Lytechinus pictus: one gene and its partner. The main gene of each other region encodes a partner of the protein of the gene in region 2 in a complex. Links are inferred from orthologs where the notes say so. Each region holds a gene or a part of one and is shown on either strand. Other genes may lie near its edges.

The links. The genes of interacting proteins can lie anywhere in the genome.
Region 1: 26S proteasome regulatory subunit 6A (region 2) and proteasomal ubiquitin receptor ADRM1-like share a complex: the UniProt entries of both Caenorhabditis elegans proteins name them as parts of the 19S proteasome regulatory particle complex. The link is inferred for Lytechinus pictus from reciprocal best matches to the Caenorhabditis elegans genes rpt-5 and rpn-13.

What each region holds. Positions count from the first base shown.
Region 1 is NC_087245.1:15,499,901-15,510,774, reverse strand, and holds the start of proteasomal ubiquitin receptor ADRM1-like, read left to right. Parts: upstream 1-5,423; 5' UTR 5,424-5,531; coding exon 5,532-5,735; intron 5,736-10,874. UniProt on the Caenorhabditis elegans protein: May function as a proteasomal ubiquitin receptor. May promote the deubiquitinating activity associated with the 26S proteasome.
Region 2 is NC_087250.1:14,967,003-14,977,764, reverse strand, and holds the start of 26S proteasome regulatory subunit 6A, read right to left. Parts: upstream 4,783-10,762; 5' UTR 4,750-4,782; coding exon 4,696-4,749; intron 3,979-4,695; coding exon 3,853-3,978; intron 2,741-3,852; coding exon 2,633-2,740; intron 1-2,632. UniProt on the Caenorhabditis elegans protein: Component of the 26S proteasome, a multiprotein complex involved in the ATP-dependent degradation of ubiquitinated proteins.

The DNA of each region.
Region 1 (10,874 bases), on a different chromosome or scaffold from region 2:
CAAGGATATACTTTCCTTTTCATATACAATAATTATCAGTCGTGATGTAATGGACAGATGTCCCCGGGGGACGTTTCATGATGGGTTGTCAGGAGGATATAGTGTTCGAGGGACTGTCCTTTCCGGAACCGTTCGTTTCAAATAGACAGAAGCGTAATCAACAAACAAAAAATGAGGGGCACAAAATGGCAGATGGTGCAAAGTTTTCTAAAAACGAGCGAGAGAAAAAAAATACCTGTTCAAAATGCAGATGTTACTTTGTATTAGATTTGAACATAATATCCCGAAAAATGAAACAAATTTTATTAAAGTTTTCTGTCATTTTCTTTCTTTATTTTTTGTGTGAATCATTTTGTGTCCAGTACCCCCAAGCCCCCCCCCCCCCTCCATAATGTGTACAAAGTAATAGGATCGCATTTTGTAATTGTGATGTTAATGAAAGAATAAATCATTATATAACCAAGGCATGTTTCGAGTCAGGTGTGTTATTATCAATAGTACATGGCGCCTTACACAGCGGGGGGGGGGGGGGGCAGTTTTCTCACTCCCACCCCTCTCCCTGAAAACTTGCAAATTTCATTTTCACAAAATTCACCAAAAGTGTGCACGAAATGTAGTTTCATTTGAGAAATACATAAGCATCTCCATCTTCGATTTTTGTTTAGATGCGTCTTGTCACCCCCCCCCCCGGAAAAAATTACTTTTAAGAAAAAAAATATATATAAAGGGAAGACGATAGGAAAAGACTGAGAGAGATCAGAGGCTGGAGGGGGGAGGGGGTAGGGAGAGATCATGAGAGGGAGAGGAGGGTGAGAGAGGGGGGAAGAAGGGTATTGGAAATTGGAATATAGTTGAGAATAATAGATAACATATTCAATTATTCAACTATTGAATTATTGAGTCGAAAAGGGGTTCCCAAGTGGAGAAAACATTTTAAAATAGCAAAATGGAGCAAGAGAGAGAGAGAGAGTGGCTGGGTGAACGAGGGGACGAAGAGAGGACGTTTCTATACAGTGCGTATCAAAATAAAGTTTACACAAAGTGTGAAGAAACAAGTATTAAATGAAAAATGAAATGTAAACCCACTTTAAATGACACAAACTTAGTGAAAAATGCTGGAGATGTCTGATATAAACTTTTGTTCAGATTCAGTTATGTCCTCAGATCCAGCTGGCACAAAAAGGGTAAATGTTGTGTTTACTAAGTGTTGAAATTTCAATTTGGGTGGCAAAGTTGTTACAAAATGCTTGAATGTATCCATTTTAATTCAATTGACTTAGAGTGCAAGGGAAATGTAAGAGAAATGTTTCGCAGGGTAAGTTTGATGTCGCCCTTTCCCCTTGACACAGCGTGAAAACGAGCATTTCTGCGCAAACAGATTTCTGCGAGCTTTACAAAAATGGACAGTGCTCACTCAAGTGTAACATTCTGCCAAAACTTTTACTTTCATTGGATAGATGAGACCCAAACCCAAGATTATATGTGAAGAAATTACCCACATGTTGTATTTTTTTTTTTAATTCCCAGGGCTTTTTCAAAGTGTAAATTTTTTTTTGATACGCACTGTATAGGCAATAATAATAATAACTTTCAATACGATGTAACCATGCATGAGATCAAGCTTATATGATATCGAATTATTTTCCTTCATATAACATAATGTACTTTGCCTTTTCTTGATATGTCCCTTTTTTTAATGTGATCAATAAGTAATAGGCTCAATACTGCACCGTGATAGCCTTTACTGTCTACTCGATGCATGTTCTGGCATTTCATTCGAGACTATAGGCGCCGCTTTTCCGACGGCGGGGGTGTCGTCAACATTGAAATCTTAACCAACTATACATGTATAAGATTAAGATAATGACATGTCATCATAACTTAGAAAGTGTATGAACCTATTTCATGAAACTTGGAAATAAGGGTAATCAAGTATCATTGAACATCCTGCTAGAGTTTCAGGTCACATAGGTCACATGACCAAGGTCAAAGGTCATTTTTTGTAAAGAAGGCCTACCTGTTAGGGTCAAGATCATGTTGGGGGAATCAACATCGAAATCTTTACCAATAAAGTTAAGTTTTTGAAATATCGTCATAACTCAGAAAGTATATGGACCTAGTTCATGAAACTTAGACATAAGGATAAGGGTGTATCTCTCACTGGCGTAAATCCCGGGGGGGTGGGGGGATATATCCCCCCACTTTTCGAGGAGGGGGGGTGGCCTGTACAAACATCCCCCCACTTTTTACGAAAGAAATGAAAAAAAAATCACAAGAGATAATTGTTTTATTGGTGAAAATTCTTCCTGAAATACCGCTTAACAAATAAAACAATATTATTGAATCATAAAATGCAAATAAAGAGCCAGTTCACAATTTCCAAACGAAATACTTATGTCCTTATTATAACATTGAAGAGAAACTCCCGTTTCTTCCAATTCATCAATGTTGGGGTCTTTGGGAAGGGATTAAGATGGAATGTCAATTCTTTTTTAATGTAATCTCTAATAAAACCATTAAACCATCATGGGGTAAAAAAGATAATAATATTGGAGGGGTATTTGCCATATGGACATACAGTGGCGTAACTACGGGGGGGGGCATGGGGGCACATGCCCCCCCATCGGCTGACAATAAAAAACGGGGAAAAGGGGAAAAGGAGAAAAGAGGGAGAAAGGAAGAGAAGCGTATAGTGGGAAAGAAGAAAATATTATTCATTATAATGTTATATTATAATTATGTTATGTTACATTACATAAGAAACTTTTTTATCATAACTTCATGAAACAAAATTTGCCCAGGGCCTACGTCTTCATTGTTCCTGGTGCTTGCATTGTCTGTTAACGAGATATATAATCATGTTGTACTGAAACATCCCGTTTTCAAGTCAATATAAACCAAATATATTTCCTAGCACTTGAGTTATCATTGTTTTATGTAGTGACATATGCTTCTTTTTCATGACTCAAAAAGTGATTACCCCATGTTAAGGTCTTCGTATATATGAAACATTTCCTGTCCGTGATTACGTTCGCATTAGTGGATTGGTGAGATATGTCTGCTCTTCATGAATTCCTAAAATCAGTCCTTAAAATGTCCCTTCTTCTGATCTAAATATCAAAAATTTTCAGCTCGCGCTTCGCGCTCACATCATTTGGATATTGAAATACGTATGGTCCTGGTTAATTCCTACAAAGAAACCTTAGAATGCCCCACTTCAGGTCTGAATTATCTGAATTTTCAGCTCGCGCTTCGCGCTCGCAATATTTGATTAGTGAGATGCGTATGATGATCATGATTGCAATGACTACAAAAAGTGTTTCATGTGTTCAGATGTAATTCTTATAAACCAGCAAGCGCTTGGCACTCGCATTAGATGAATATGGTCATGATGGTGAGATGTGCATACTCTTAATGGATTCCTAAAATATATTCCTCAAAATCTCGCTGTTTGGGGTCAAAATATACGAAAACTTCAGCTCGCGCTTCGCACTCGTATTGTTTAGCGAGACAGGTACCTATCATGATTACACAAATTTGATTATAATGTCTCTTTTTAGGTGTGAATTTTAAAAAATTCAGCTCGCGCTTCGCGCTCGCATTATTTGATCAGTGAGATGCATATCCGTTTAATGATATTGTCCAGAAAATGTATCTATTAGGTCAGTATAACTGGCAACTGAGCGCGCTCATTCAGTGATTCAAACATTTTGCTGGTGCCCCCCTCCCCAATGCCGTGACCCACGGTACGCCACTGTGGACATATCAATGACAATTCCTTGCATATCTAAAAACATGATTGCAAAAAAAAACCCAAAATATTTCAGTCATCCCCCACCCATCAACACGGATTTACGCCAGTGGTATCTCTAAAGATCCTAACTGAATTTCGGGTCACATGACAAAGGTCAATATGGTCAAAGAACTTTTGCTATGCCATTTGTGGAAATTGTCATCATAACTTTGAAATTTTATAGATCTAGTTCACACTGGCGTAAATCATTGCGTCACACCTATTGTTCAGGGGGGACGGAACAATAGATCATCCCCCCTGAACAACAGGTGTGACGCAAGGATTTACGCCAGTGCTAGTTCATGAAACTTGGAAATAAAAGCAATCAAGTATCTCTAAATATCCTGTACGAGTTTCAGGTCACAAGACCAAGGTTATAGGTTGACGAACTTTGGTAATGTTGGGGTAGGACCTATTTGTGTAATTTTCATCATAACTTTAGAAGTTTATGGATCTAGTTCATGAATCTTAAACATAAGAGCAACCATGTATCCCTACACTATTGGAGAAGGAGAGGTGATGCCATAACAGTGTTCAAAATTCTCAAGGGAATGGTGAGACTGGACCCAAGTCAGTTCTTCACCTTATCTGTATTTTGTTGAAATTTTATGGATCTACTTCATGAAACATAGACGTAGGGGTAATCAAATATGAATGATTGTTTTTCACACGTCATAGGTCACATCATCATGGTCAAAGGACCTATATATTTTATTATCATATGAATGTTTCTTTTGTGAATAATTATTCAATAGCTGTTTTCAAAGTCAGCACTGCTTCGAATCGCGTAATGCAGTCGAGACTGCCAGAGGTGTTCCACTTGTTACTCTCCGCCCTCGGGGGGGGGGGGGCCACTTCCATTGACGAGTGGATACCATGCGCGACCATGGGGTCTCGAAAAGCACCCTAAACACGTATTTTCCATATTCTGAAAATGCACCCCTTAACAAGTATTGGTGTGTGAAACCCTACTCTTAACAAGTATTGGAAACAAAACAATACTCTTGGCAAGTATTCCCTGAATTGACCCCCTAAACAAGTACAACGATACTTTTATTGTTATGTGCACTGTCGTCGGTTTTACCTGATTGGGTTTAGTACAGCCCCTGCACATCTCGCGCAAAATCATACTCTAAACAGTGTTGACTCTTGGGGCAAAAAGTACATCCTTTATAAAACATTTTAGTCTTAATTTTTTTACACCCTCGCAAATTTGACCCTAAACACGAAGCTTTCCTAGCAAAAATAGATACCGTTTTTTCATTATTTTAGTGTTTTTGACACCCTTATTACGTTACGTACGTAACGTGCCCTATCTTGAAAAAGACATCCTTTTTACGTGTTTTTTTGGTCGCGCATGGTATCCACTCGCCAATGTAAGTGGCCCCCCCGGGCTCTCCGCTCTCTCTCTCTCTCTCTCTCCCTCTCTTTACAGATGAAATATGACAAGGCCTGTAAGTGTAAGGTACATATTACTTTTTGATATTCATTATTTCGACGATTCTGTTCTTACATGGATGGAATTTGAAAAGGGTTCAAACATAAGAAATGTAATTCAAGATAACGACGAGATGGGTTAACACGAGAACTCCGTGTTTTCCTTTTTCATTGGCCCATCAAAAACACCACATTTATCGAAATTTCGCATTGTCACTTACAAATTCTCATCATCAGTGAGATCTGCCGTAATTTTTACAGTTTACGTGAATATATTTGCCTTGTTGTAACCAAGTCAATCATGTCTGGAGCATTATTTGGAAGTTCCGCTACCGGAGGTCGTCCATCCAGTAAAAATCTGGTGGAATTTCGAGCTGGTAAAATGGAATTGAAAGGAACGACTGTGACTCCCGACAAGAGAAAGGGTCTTGTCTTCCTTCACCAGCCCGACGATACGCTCATGCACTTTTGCTGGAAAGACCGCACATCTGGCACAGTTGTGGACGTAAGTCAATAACACTAACGTAACAAGTAACATGACGTGGTAGGATGCTAATATTAATACTAAAGCATTAAAATTATTGGAACCCAGAAGGGATGGGGGCATTGGCGGCGGAAGCCAAAAAATTTAGGGGGGGGTCCACCTGAAATTTAGTAATGTACACAAACAGTGACAAATAAAAATTTTGACAAGCAAAAAAAAAAAAAAAAAAGGTCATCAACTAAAAATTTGGGGGGCGGGACCTGTCCCCCCCCCCCCCGCTTCCGCCGCCTATGGATGGGGGCGGGGTCATCATGAGGGGGGGTTACCTAGACAGCTGGCAGCCGTCTGTTTCGAGGAGTTTTTTAACTTTTTTTTTTTTTTTTAATTTCTCCTCGTACACAGACGGCTCGCTAGCGTGCAGCCACCATTAGGGGACTTGCAATGCAAAATCCCCCCGTCGGGGCTCTTCAATTTTTGTCTTTAATGAATAAAAATTTTGAAAATTAACGCGACCAAAATGCAAATTAATATTCCCTCTTGGCATTAATTGCAAAAAAACAGAGAAAAATCAAGTTAAAAGGAAAAAAAACAATGACTTACCTCGGCTGTCGCACAAATTCACTTCCCCGTTTTATCCGATCTTAAGTACATAAACATATGGCCATTGAGTCCCCTGTACAGATCGCGCTAGAACTTCGGTCTCTGTATTTGGTGAGTGAAGCCAACGGAGTTCAGCTGAACAACCAACATAACAGAGACCGAAGCTTTTGGTCTAGGGGTTACCTAGCCAGGAGGCTTCTAGAGAGCACTCCTAGTAGGATGGGGGGTGGGGTGTCCGGACACTTAATATTTTTGAAGCCTTCTTTTTTGTCTTTGGATTACACTAAAAATACGAATTCAATAGTTGTAATCATCTTCTGTTTTGTTCTCTATAATATTACCTAACATTTCGTACTAAACATTTTATGAAACTTTGCTTGTAAATTTTTCCAAATGACTTTCTAAAACTGATCGTCCGGACACACAACCTGTCCGGACACACAACAACTGGGTATACTGTAGTAGTACCAATGAGGTCCAAACATTACATGTATGGACCTCATACTTATACTAGGCGACATCTGTAGTATTTTGTGTCGGAAATCTTTGTGAAGATGATTATTTGTGTATTATAACACAAGTACGAGCTATCGTACTGTCTATTCATTAAATTTTTGTTTAAGAAAGTTAAAGCATTGTTAGCAATTAAAAAAAATTGAAAGAAATGAAGGGGAACTTACATTTTGACGACTTTTTCCAGATTTTATTGCCAGTTGCTCTTCACTTCTGACTCGCGATCGAAGCTGATATGCAGATCACGTGATACGCGTTCTCGTCAGCTGATCGGTTGGTTATTCTTTTCGCCAGACGTTGATAATTATATATTTCATAATGCTAGCATTTATCGCAAATTTAGGTAAAAGAGATTGAATTTAAACAGCGCAAGCTTTAATTTTCTCAAAAATAACATTTAATTGATTGCACAAGTTTCGCCTTGGAACAAGTAGGATCATTTGGTCCCATGTTTGCGTAACTACGGGGGGGGGGGGGGGGTGGGGGCGGGGTGTCCCTACCACTATACACCCACTAGCCAGCAATTATAGTTTTTTCTCTTTTTTTTAACCAAAATACCTCCCCCCCAAAAAAAAATAAAAATAAAAATAAAAATAAAAAAAATAGGGTTAAAGAGAAAGAGAATTGAGGAACACAATATGCTTTATATTTTCCTCTTTTACTGTTTAACGAGACTTGTAATCAAATATTAAATGGGGCTGTATTAGAACAGCCTTTTTTAAGTCAATTAATAAAAAATATTCCTCCTCGGGATTTGAGCTTTCATGAAATATGAATCTTTTTCATGACTACCGAAAGCGCTAAAAATGTCAAAATTTTTAATTGGTATATAAAGCTTTAGCTCATGCGTTGCGCCCGTCTTATTTTAATGTTATACAATTTTATGCTTTTAATGAATTTCTAATTCTCAGATCTTGTCGCAATCCGATTGGTAGCTATAATGAATGATTATTATGTTTCATGAATTGTTCAAAATGTGTCTCTCTATCAGTTTTGAATATTTAAAAAAATGTCAGCTCATGCTTTTTGCTCGCAATATTTTGATTAGTAAGAATTTCTTCTCTTGTATATATTATGCGAGTTTGAGTAAATAACTAGAGAGAGAGGGGGGGGTCCCTCAGCTACTTGTCCTCGCTTATTCCCAATTTTTTTTTATATTATACTCGTGTTCAGAGTGTTTCAAAGTCTTTTCTGATTTTTTTAACACTTTTTATTGTCTCGGAGCTTCCCTCTATTTTTTTTAACTATGATGTAGCCCATTTTACTTGTTTCAATTCTTTTATGTCTCATTTCATTGAAAACATAATTATTAAACTGACTGACTTTATTACGAAATTTTGATATTATATTGTCTTGTTTGTTTGGCTTTCTTTTTTTCTTCTTATCCTTCTTACTTTTTCCATTTCCTTATTTTCTCTTTTATTTCATTTCATGAGGCATCCGCCAACTTATATACAACAACAACAAACATTTTTATTTGGTGGTGTGCCCCTCTAAAAAGGGAGGAAAATAGGAAGGAAAAAAAGAAGAAGGGAAGGGGAAAAAAAAAGAAAAAAAAAGAAAGATGATGATGATGAAAATTATCTTGGTGATGATGATGGTGGTGGTGATGGTGGCGGTGATGATGATGATGATGATGATAATGATGGTGGTAGTGGTGATGATGATGAGAATGAAGTTGGTGATGATGGTGATGATGAAGACTAGATGTAATTTTGTTATTTTGTCTTTGAAAAAATTAAGTAGTGCATAGGTGAATTTATTTAAAGTTAATTATGAAAATAGCAGAAAAAATAATTTGAAAAATTGGTATGCGTTCAGGAAAAATCCATCCCCCACCAAAAAAAAATTAAAGGTGAGATTTTAAAAATAATTATTTGTGACGGCGTAGGCCTTTGCGAGCATCTATATCGGATATAATTATGGTAAAAAGTAAATGAAATGTCAAGAAATACGTGATAATGACTTTTATTGTACATTCAGTATATCAATAGATAACTTCATACTCTCTCCAAAAAGAAAAAAGTGGGTCATTACGGACCATTAAAAATGGGAAATTTTGGCATTTTATATTACATAGAATATTGAGCAACTGCTCGTTTATGACGTCACAAATCAAGCATTCGAAATTCTACTAACTCCATTTTTGTCTCACCTGCATAGCAGAGTGAGACTATAGGCGCCGCTTTTCCGACGGCGGCGGCGGCGGCGGCGTCAACACCAAATCTTAACCTGAGGTTAAGTTTTTGAAATGACAGCATAACTTAGAATGTATATGGACCTAGTTCATGAAACTTGGCCATAAGGTTAATCAAGTATTACTGAACATCCTGCCTGAGTTTCATGTCACATGACCAAGGTCAAAGGTCATTTAGGGTCAATGAACTTAGACCATGTTGGGGGAATCAACATCAAAATCTTAACCTAAGGTTATGTTTTTGAAATGTCATCATAACTTAGAAAATATATGGACCTAGTTCATGAAACTTATACATAAGGTTAATCAAGTATCACTGAACATCCTGCATGAGTTTCACATCACATGACCAAGGTCAAAGGTCATTTAGGGTCAATGAACTTTGGCCGAATTGGGGGTATCTGTTGAATTACCATCATAACTTTGAAAGTTTATGGATCTGATTCATGAAACTTGGACATAATAGTAATCAAGTATTACTGAACATCCTGTGCAAGTTTCAGGTCATATGATCAAGGTCAAAGGTCATTTAGGGTCAATGAACTTTGGCCAAATTGGGGTATTTGTTGAATTACAGCCATAAATTTGAAAGTGTGTTGGTCTAGTTCATAAAACTTGGACATAATAGTAATCAAGTATCACTGAACATCCTGTGCGAGTTTCAGGTCACATGATCAAGGTCAAAGGTCATGTAAGGTCAAAGAACTTTGGCCACGTTGGGGGTATTTGTTGAATTGCCATCATATCTCTATAAGTGTATTGGTCTAGTTCATAAAACGTGGAAATAAGAGTAACCAAGTATCACTGAACATCTTGTGCGAGTTATAGTAGTTTTCAAAATCAGCACTGCTGCTATATTGAATCGCGTGATGCAGGTGAGACGGCCAGAGGCATTCCACTTGTTTTTAAATAACACCTTCACCGATGTTTTGAAATTATTTTTCTTTGGCCTATATTTTCACAATCTTTTTATCAAGGTGAAATTCCCCTTTACAAAACAGTATCCGCATGATCAGTGTGTAGCGGTAAATTATTCACCTGATAACTATAGACCTATCTATAATTCATGCGGCTATGTTTAATAATATATTGCTGTGAATAGAATGAATGTCATTAAAAACATAATCTCACTGATCACTAATGCCAGCTCAACGCGCAAACTGAAAAAATATATTTTCTGCCCCGATAATTTGATAACCCTAACCTAACCCAATTTCTAAGTATTTTTATCATAAACAGGATAACTATAGACAATTAATTGAAAACTTGATATTCTTTTGCGAAAATGAATATGAAGGACAACTTTTTAATAAAGAACACAGTTTTAGAGCGTGATTTATACCTACAACCGCTTAATCCTGTCACTGTCGGTATGACATGAAGCAGTTGGAACTTTCTGATTCCATCAGCTTAATAATTTTTGCAACAGGCGCCAGTCCAACAAACAGACAGACATTTGCCCAAACAGACAACATCTCAACCTCTGCTCATTTCTTTTTGCACAGACACATAAAATCTCGACCTACCCATCACTTTTCTCACTATTTTCTCCTCCCTTTTATTTTCCATTAATTTTTCTTTCGTTCACTTTTTTTCTGTCCTCTTTTTCCTTCTATTTTTTTTTCTCGTCTCACCGCTTTTCCTCATCTCCCAGCCCCCGACGCCCACGCAGATTCGCAAACAATATCAAGTGTACTGTTAGGCAAGGGCGGAAATCTCTCCCCAAAGGTAGCCGGGACCAGGGGCTGGAAAATTGACAAGAAAAAAACAAACAAACAAAAACAAAAAAGAAGGTTTATCACCCCAAAAAGAAGGTCATCTTGACCAAAAGAAAGTTGATAAGCAAACAA
Region 2 (10,762 bases):
TTTTACTTCTACAAATAAGGATTCGATGATTTCATTCATATATTCAAATTCATGTCTAATTGCATAATCAAATGAAGACGGAATATATAATGCTAGTCCACCTCCAATTTTATTTTTCCTATTGTTTATAACAATATCATAATTCGGGAGGGTGCATAAGGAATTTGGGGTTTCCGTGAACCAAGTTTCAGTAAGAGCAATAATTGGGGGATTGGCAAACTGTGTATTTTCTAATAATAATCGTCATTTCTCGAAGTTTTGGTTAGCGCTTCTTATATTCAAATGCAAAATAAAAACATCATCTTCTCCAATCAATTTAGCATAGTCTTTGAATGAATTTTCTGTATAATATGGAGAAGAGGAAAGATTGTATGCTTTATCATGAATATCGAATTCAACTTGAAGTTCATCAAAATTATTTGTAAGAATATCAGTAGAAAATCTATCAAATGCTGAAATGGAGTATAATGATTTGAGATAACATTGCTTTTATCTTGATGATTTAGTAATAAGAAATCATCATTATTCAGATGATAAAAGGGGAAATCACGCATATTATCCACCATTATGAAATATAATATATTGCCATTTTAAAACAAAATCTTTGTAAGCTAAGCATATAAAGCATTTTTTAGATTTGATACCATCATGACCCAAAATTCGAGTTCGGAAAATACTACAGTTGTAATAGTTAACAAAATAAAGATTATCTAATACAATTATTAACGGGCGATGAAGAATATTTGCACACAAAAATAAGTAAAATGACCTCCATAAAATGTCTGGTATTGAAACATTATTGAAAGGGCAGTGAAGGAATGCAAAATACACCACGGAAAATAACACAGATATTGAACAATGCGAAAAATTTTGGGACGAGAATTTCATAATAAATGAAAAGAATACTGGAAAATCGAATAACATGGAATGGATAAAGGATAGTCCTACTACAGTTTGGAAAAGTCCTCTCTGGAATGAATGATGATGGGTTGACACTTCTCATCCTTCCTTACATAGATTCGGCCATTCTGGGTCCACAAGAACTTGTATCCGGCATCTCGGCGGGCCTTGTTGAGATCTTTCATTAGCTCCTTAGTGGAAGCGATCAAGTTTTCATTGAGGTAGATTTTGCCATCGCTGTTGTATCCAAGATCTTTTGTGCTGAGGGTCTTCAGCTTTCTTCTTCCATCATACATGATGTTCCGAGCACGTCTTGTGGTGAATCGCACGATGATTGGACGGGCTCTGTTATCAGCTTGGCGCTTGGAACCCAGCCGATGAACCACATCGAAGTCGGATGCTGCAAGCTCTGGGCTGATGTGTTTTGCAATATTGAGTATGATCCTTTCAGGAACCTCTCCCGGTCGTTCTGGTACACCTGCCACCTCCAAGTTGACTCTCCTGTGGTACTGGTCAAGATCGTTAAGCTGGAAGGTCAACTCACTGAACCTCTTCTGAAGACAGATGTTCTGCTCCCTCAGTTCTCTGTTCTCCTTTTCAATCTTCTCGGCCTTCAACTTCATTTCCTCAAATTTCTCGTTGAGTCCAGGGTCAAGTTACACAAGGGAGTTGGCGATTAATTGCTAAATGGAATGGCCAATCCAGATCATCGTTGCATGCACATTTGCTCAGTGCACTGACTAGGAACCAATCAGAATTGTTCTTTCAAATGAGCGATTGATCGCTAACGTTTGTGTTATGGGGCCGAGATCAACATTCACTCTGTCACCAATCATCTTTCTCCCCTTCCCTCTCTACTCCCCACCTCCATCTTCCCCTTACCCTGTTCACTCTTTCCCCTCTTTTAACCCCCCCCCCCCCAATCCTCCACCCATTCACTCGCCATATTCTTAATTGTCTTGTTGACCTCGTGATCACAGCACCTCGTGATCACAGCACATTTTCCTCTCCTCTGTGAATCTACTTCAGCATTTTTTCTGTCAATCCCATAATTTTCCTCTTTCTTTATCTCCCCCTTCACTCCCCACCCTTCCCTTCCCATCCCTTCACCCCCATGATATTAGACACTGTTCTCATTACGCTTTCTAAAACTAGTTTACTGGAAACTGGTTCAGGAAACCAGTTTGGAAGACCCCTTTGCTAGCGTTCCCATTTGATCACACGAAAGTGGTTTACAAAATCACTTCACGTAAAGCGATATTGTTGCTATGGAAACGCTCTCAGTGGGGTGACACGTTTCGCGCGAAATACGAAACCGCAGCGTAGGCATTCTACACCTGTCGAGTGTCGTGTGGAGTAGCACGCTCAAAATGTGCGAATATCGCTTCCCGAAGAACGGTTGTGTCCTCACTTACACCAAAACCAGTTGAACAAGGCAAAGCGATCTTGAAAACTACACCGTGAGGTGGTTTTATGAACCGGTTTGGAAGATAGCTTCGACCGTTCTCATTACACGTTGAACTAGTTTCCACTAAACTAGTTTCCAGTAAACTAATTTTAGGAAGGTAGTGAGAATGGTGTCCTACTTGTCTTGTTGATGTCTTGATCACATTTTCCTTTCCGTTGTGAGTCCAGATCAACATTTGTTCTGTCAATCCCATAAGTTTCCTCTTTCTCTATCTCCTCCCTCACCCCACCCCCTTCCCACCCCTTCACTCTCCCATAATCTTACTTGTCTTGTTGACGTCTTGATTACAGCACATTTTCCTTTCCGTTGTGAGTCCAGATCAACATTCGCTCCCTCCGTCTCTTCATCCTCGTCTGGTTGGACATCAAGGAGCTGATTAAAAGTCATCGACAAGACAGGGTCATGTTAAAACTATTCATAATGTTATAATTAATTTATGCCAAGTGATAATTCTCATCTCACATGTGAGTGATTATCGGTAGGCCTGGGAGTAAAACTCGAACAATCGTTACATTTGACAAGTTTACCAACAAGCAGCAAGCGAATACTACTTTTCTTTCTTTGTCAAATTTTTCGGAAGACAGAATTTTTCTTGCTTAAAAAAGTTTTCGGACAAATTTTGCACAAAAAAAGTCTCACTCTGGAACCACGCCTGATTTTTGCAAATTTTACTGTATTAATTTCAAAACAAGGTCAATCAACTTTATCATAAACAAGAAAGGTGGGTCGTCCACAACTTATCTCTACAACATTGGAAAATAAATATGGCTAAGTCTTGTTGTTCACCTGCATATATGCAGACTTTCAAGTATTAATTTCAATATGAAGTTGATCAACTTTAAATACAAAAGATGTCATGATTAAACAACACAAAAAAAAATGGCCAGAGTAATCCTGAAAGACAATCTAAGAACTCCTACCCGAATTAATTTAAGCACACTAAAATGGATTCCCATCGAAGATCGATGGAATTATTTTAAATGTAAAATGATATTTTCTGTTTTCCTTAGTCAAAATTCAGACTATTTGTTAAATATCTTTTGAAAACTCTGAAACTGTACATAGTATTCGTACTCGTAGTGCACAAAGCACAGGTTTGATTTTGCCCAAAGTTCGAACGGAAATGAAGACAAGTTTTTCTATTGCTGGTGCACTCATTTGGAATAATTCACCTACATGTAATGTTTTAAGAACTGCCTGATCAGAATCCCCATTTAGTCTTTTATTTTGGCATTATAATAGCCTTAATTTATAAACCGGCCCTTTGTGTTGTTCTCTTCCTTACAGTTTGTTCGTCATAATTTCACATTGTACACTTTTCATAATTATGTCTGTTATGTTTGTATTTTTGTTGTAGGGCCTCCCAGGAAAAAAGTATGCCAATTACTGATGGAGCCACCCTACTAAAAAAAAAAACTTACAAATCAATAAACTTCATCACAAACAAGAAAAGGAAGGCTAATATGGAGTCCTATCAGACTTACCTCAATAACATTGGAAACTAAATATGGCAGGGTCTTGTTGACTTTAATCTTCTCTTCATTTTCTTTGATCTTGTCTTTTTGTGCTTGATGTTCATGCTGTATCCTCATGATTTCACTCTTCATTATCTGCATGGATGGAAATGACAAATTGAATATGAAAAGAACAAAATGTCAAGAATGTTTGTCTTTATCACATGATAATTATACTCCTTTTTATATTTGTATGTTTTATTAAATCAAAAATCATAATCAAGGTAAAATTACAATATTTACAACTTATTAAAAACAGATCAGATTTATTGTAATAAAAGGCAATATTAACAAAAATAAAGCTTAACAAACAAAACAATAAAATAATACAAGGCAAACACACTATACAAAGTTAATTATACTCTTTCTCTGCATCATCCTTTTCTCTCTTAATCCTACTCATCATTTTCTTCTTCTTCCTCCTCCTCCCTTTTTTGTCTACTCCTCCTCCATTTTCTTCTTCTTCTTCCCCTTCTCCTTCTTCTCCTCCACCTTCTTCTGATGCTTCTTCTTCTTCCCTTTCTCCTTCATCTTTTTCTCCTTCTTCTTCTTCCCCTTCTCCTCCTCCTTCTTCTTCTTCCCTTTCTCCTTCTCCTTCTCCATCTCCTTCGTCTCTTTCTCCTTCTTCTCCTTCTCCCACTCCTCTCCTCCCACTTCCTTTTCTTTTCTTTCTTTTTCTACTTCTTCCCATCTTCCTTTTCTCCTTCTCCCTATCCTGCTCCTTCTTGTTCTTCTCCTCTCCTCCCCTTCTGCTTCATATAATGTATTTTCCATAGAAGAGTAAATTTCTTTCAAACAACCTCCATCACTCACCTTGACTTCATTGTCTAACAGTCTTGTCCTTCCTATGATTTCATCTGTTGACATTCGTAACACCTCCTCACCCACGGAGTCCTAGGGGAAAGAAATTACTCAATTTTACCACTTGCATTTTTAAGGGACACAGAAAACACATTAGCATATTAATGAGAAATGTTCTAACTCTTAAAAGTTACTACTGACGTACATGTATGCAAGTTTAAAGGAAAATGAAACCCTTGAAACCAGCTGAATCCATATCAAAGAGAAAAATCAAAGAAACATATTGTTGAAAGTTTGAGGAAGATTGAATGAATAATAAGAAAGTTATGAGCATTTGAAAATTGAGATCACTAATGCCATGTAGATCCTCCCATTGGCAATGCAACCAAGATCTGTGATGTCACACACGTACAACTCCCTCATTACTTTAGTACTTATTTCACTTATATTCTCACTTTTATAGAGTCTATCACAAGGTGAGGTGTTCTCTTTATGAGAGGACAAGTACAGAGGTTTCGCAACATTATATCAATGATGAATCGTTTGTCATATGATTAGAATGAGCAAAAAGAGATGTTTTGGGGTACATTTTCAGTGTCCAAAAGGGGAGAGTTGTCCAGTTTTGGACACTGAAAATATACCCCAAAACATCTCTTTTTGCTCATTCTAATCATATGACAAACGATTCATCAATGATATAATGTTGTGAAACCTCTGTACTTGTCCTCTCATAAAGAGAACACCTCACCTTGTGATAGACTCTATAAAAGTGAGAATATAAGTGAAATAAGTACTAAAGTAATGAGGGAGTTGTACGTGTGTGACATCACAGATCTTGGTCGCATTGCCAATGGGAGGATCTACATGGCATTAGTGATCTCAATATTCAAATGCTCATAACTTTCTTATTATTCATTCAATCTTCCTCAAACTTTCAACAATATGTTTCTTTGATTTTTCTCTTTTATATGGATTCAGATGGTTTCAAGGGTTTCATTCTCCTTTAATGTACTGAAGTGTCCAGTCTTATCTCTGTAGTGTCTGTACTCATGTGAGCCAAAATTAAAGAAAACTACACACAAATATTAATAATGATATGCAACATTTATTCAATACAATGTTTCAAACCACTGCATACTAATACCCCGGCTTTACCACTGCAACCCTGCTTGGGTGCTTAAGCATTCAAGGAATTCCTTCCTACATGTACCTGGTACCCATTTACCACACCTGGGTGAAGAGTGGCAAATGTAGATAAACACCTTGCCAAAGGATGCAAGCTTGATTTTGACGAGTGATTGTACATTGTAGTCAATGCAATCAATTGTAAAAGAAATGTTAGATATGGTCAATTCCAGCATAACGGACATGACGTTCAGACAAATTTTTGTAATTCAAAGCTTTATACAGTAGAATTAGCAGTCTTTTGATAATTGTTACTGAGCAGATCAGACACATTTAAGTATCAGTTACATACACATGAAATTTCAAATCGTTTCGTTGAACAGTTGTGGAGAAATCGCACTCTTTGTGAGCGTAACGGACATGACACGAAATGGACGAAGCATTTTTACCTCCTATGGCTCATCGATATTCCTGTGAATTCTTAGAACGTATGCACCTGATGTTGGTGTTAATTTAACCTTAAGATCATGCTCTGTTCATAAAATGGTGTTTAACAACAGTTTTGCAGTGCATTCTGTATTCATAGCTCAAAATGTAGCGTAACGGACATGACACATGAAGCGTAACGGACATGACAGTTTCGTCCACTTTTTGTAAGCGGATATAATTATGTTATTACAAGATATGGTACAAGTCTTATTGTTTACATGTTAAGGCTAGAGGTTAGAGACACACATCATAACTGGTAATCTGTAATATCTCCTATTATTTTGCAATTTGAGTGAGGGGCTTTTCGTACAATATTTATAAAACCAAAAAATTTTTAGAAAAATGTCTTTAACACCAGTTAACAACAGTTAATGAGTATTTTCCAGTTACTACCATCAGCCACACCTAATTAAAAGAGAAAAAGTTGATAGTAAAGATTATTTTTTATTCATGGCTTACTCTTTGACAATATACACTAGCGTAACGGACATGACACCCTTACGATGAACTTCATCAGCATTTCTTAATATCAAAATGAAAGAAATATGAATAATGAATGTAATTATGTAACAGCAAAGTACCTTTACTAACATTCTTATGAAAAACATGTAGATATTATTGGCAGGTATTATTAATTTAATAGCTATAGCCTACATGATAATTTTATATAGAATACAATGCTTACATAGTACCACTACGGCACACTGAGAAGACCAAATCTCATTTTTGTGAGAAGAAAACAATATGTACCAGACCTGTATAAATCCAAGATGAACATATATTATGAAATGTATTTTGTGATAAAGAATGTACTAGTATTAATGTCACTTTTAAGATTAAAAAAAATGATATAAAAAAGTATTTTAAAATTTAATAGCAGTACCTGGAAACCAGTCTTTCATTATCGATTATGTATGAGTTGAAAGTAATCGGAATGTTTGTAAATTGCTTCTGAGATATTTTTTCATTCAAAATAAATATCATCCTGAGTATAATCATCCTTTCATCAAATCTTGGATGTTCTAAATCTTACGATCTTGCTTGCTAACAAATGTGGCAACTGGCTGTATCTAATTTTGTTGCATTGTCTGCACTGCTTGTGTACAAATGAAGATACATCATTCAAATCGTGATTATGGTTGACCAAAATACTATGATGACATAATTTATTGATTGCACCACATTCCTTCCACGGCCCCTTTGCTTTGTGATATTGCAAAGAAGTGCCACTGTAGATTCATGGATTCATAGAGCTGCATCATGTAACACAGATATCTGAATACAAACTTGTTTTTAAATGTGAGCCCGTGCCATCACTGAAGAATTTGAGGTTGGTGAAAGTCAGATACTTTGAAGCAATATCATCAATGATCTCATGAATTCACAAGTTGGAATTTTATCATGCTCCAAACTGTCAGCAAACACCTAGTATATGCTTTTCACACTGCATTTCCTTAACCCCAGACTATCCTTAACCCCATACTATCTTTTTTTCGATTCACACTGTCTTTCTTAACCCCGTACTATTGCTTAGCCGGGGTTACGCCTTAACCCCGGGCAATCACACAGCTCATAAATATTGATGATTTTACCATACAGAGCGCGATTAACGTGCAATTTCGACTTCTGTGATTGGCTAATGCTTAGCCCCGCTTTTGCTTAGCCCTGTTTCGTTTCACATTGCATCTCTTAGCACCGCAATTGTGGTGCTAGCACCACAATAAGCCGGCTAACCCTGCTTTTTTGCAGGGCCAGATAGTACCGTACTATTTACCGTGCTAGCCCACTTTGCTAAAACGTAGTGTGAAAACGAAGTGGGCTAAGCTTAACCCCGGGAAATTGGTGGGGCTAAGACCCCCCCCCCCCCCTTAGCCCCAACAATTTAGGACAAAAAGTGCAGTGTGAAAAGCATATTAGATAATCAATTGTATTGTTCAAACACAAATGATGCAGATTGTGATCTGAGTATGTTGCCAGATCTAGCTGCATCTTATCCTAATATTATGTGGCATACCGTTAATTCTCAGAAAAATATACCAGAACAAGAGCTGAACTTTCATCATTTACCAACTACTAAAAATAGCTTGAATGACATGCAGATTCTAGGAGTTATTACATCCAGCTATCCTCAAGCAATTGAGACTGACCTCAGTCTGTGACACTGAGCCTAATATTTTGTTTTTGTGAATGCTGCCTTTTGTCATATATAAGGCGTCATGTCCGTTACGCAACCTGTCATGTCAGTTACGCCATTTTTATGAAAATGAGAAGTGGTAAGGGAAAATGATTGCTACACATGGTAGGGGGTTTAATTCTAACATAGAATCTGAATCTGCAGTACCTTCAGACAAATTTCCTGAAAGCTGTGAAAACTTTAAGTGAAAAACGTAACGGACATGACACTGATAATGATAAAGAAATCACACAAATCTGAAGATCGATTTCTCTAAAATTGATGATTTTCTGTTGATGTAAACATTAATCAACTATTCATAAGTTAAAAGAGACCTCTGTGACCTTATTTGCTTTTAGTAGAGACAGGAAAGATGAATTGTTTAAAAATAGCCACAATTTTTAGATTTTGCAATTTACCATTCTATTTTTTTGATGATGGAAAAAACTACAAAATTTTGTCAATATTGCGATTTTTCTATAGGAAATTGAAACTTTATAGATTACTTTTTAAGAAACTATGACTGCTTAAGTGAGATCTGAAACTTCATTTTATTTCTCTAAAGTGAACATTTTCCATGGAATTGCCCATATGATGATTGCTAGCGTTTGTGTTACAGGACACTGGTATTATTTTCATGAGACAAACCACCTAACATGTTTTTGACTGAGAAGAGATGCCCAACTATATCTGCTGCAAAGTGACAAGGAAGTTCATGATGCATCAAGTTTGGCCAGAATTATTATCTTTGTGTGTAGATTTTAAAAAAAGTGTAAGAAAATGACAACTTTGTCATGAATTTGTTTCCTTTTCTTTTCGATAAGCTTTTCCTTTTCTTTCCAGTTTTTTTTTCACTTTTCTTCTATCTTAGTTCTTTCATGTCTTTCTTCTACTTAGTTCAGGCTCCTCTCTCTCATTCTTTTCTTTTTCTGTTTTTTTTATAATTATATTTCATTTTATTGCAACCTTGGCCTTTCTTTTCCAACCTACAAAAGATGACCTACATCATTGCATCTGTAATATTTTCTTTCTCACTTCTTCCTGTATATTTCTTTTCTTTCTTTTTTTCTATATAGGCCTATGGATGTATAGGTATGTGCGAATACAGGCGCATCGCGAGCGCTGGTTTTGGCTGCACGGTTTTCGCGCGGGTTTTGCTGCAAGTGGCATCACCTCTGTCTGGGCGGCTCATCGAAAATGGGGTTTCATGCGCATGCGCACATAGTTGATGCAATCTCGTGCCTTGATACAGACAGTTGAAAACTTGCTCTTTCTGTACATATAAAGTTTCAATGTGGATACTCGCCTGTGAAGTGGGGATATCGGAGCTTGAAAGTTCATCAAATTTTTGGATGCACAAATGATCGAATTTTTTTTATGGTAAGTAGAACTACGATCCAATTATGTATCCTTATTGTTATAGATATATTCAAATTGAAAAAAAAAGTCAAATAAAAAGATTCTATCGTGGAGCAGTCCAGATATAAGAGACGCGAGCTACCCTTGTCACAGCCGGTCTCTCGGCAGTCGAGCTGCCCGATGCGGTGGGCTCCCGACGGTCTTTCGGCAGTCGAGCTACCGGTAACCGATGCGGAGGGCTTGGTGACAGGAGTGGTCGATAGTGAGTCGTTCATGCTGGATTGAACTGGATCTAAATTTTTCACTTGATAATATTGTGCCTTTTTCTGAAAATGTCTGTCATTATACCATAGATGGTTATTCTGATATTGATTTAAATATATACATTTTGTCACAAAAACTTTCCTCCTAAGGTTATAGAGTCAACATGAACATGTTTTACTTTGATTGTTCAATCATGTTTTATCATTTGGAAACTGGATTCTTTTGGAAGTGGAATATTAATGTTGACTTATTAAATTAAAATGCAAAATCTATAGTGTTTCTTTTTTTTCTTTTGTAGAAAAAAAAAATATTTTGAAACTTTTCAATCATGTTTCATTATTTTGAGACTGGATTTGCTTTTGAAAGGGGAATATCATAAATGTTGACTTTTTTATTAAAATGCACGAACTAGATGTTGTTTATTTTTTATTTTTGTAATTTTTTCACTCTTATGAGAAAATACATGAAAACTCAGAGGAAAGGATATTTCATTTCCAGATGGGTCTAACTCCTGTATTTATGTTTTCTTTATTATTAATTGTACTATTTATTTTTTATTCACTTTTCTTTTTTTAGGGGTGCAGGTGGGGGTTGTGTTTTGAATTGGAAAATGGGGATGGGATTGGTACAAGTTTTTGTGTCACTTTTGTTTCTCTTGTTTTTAGTGCT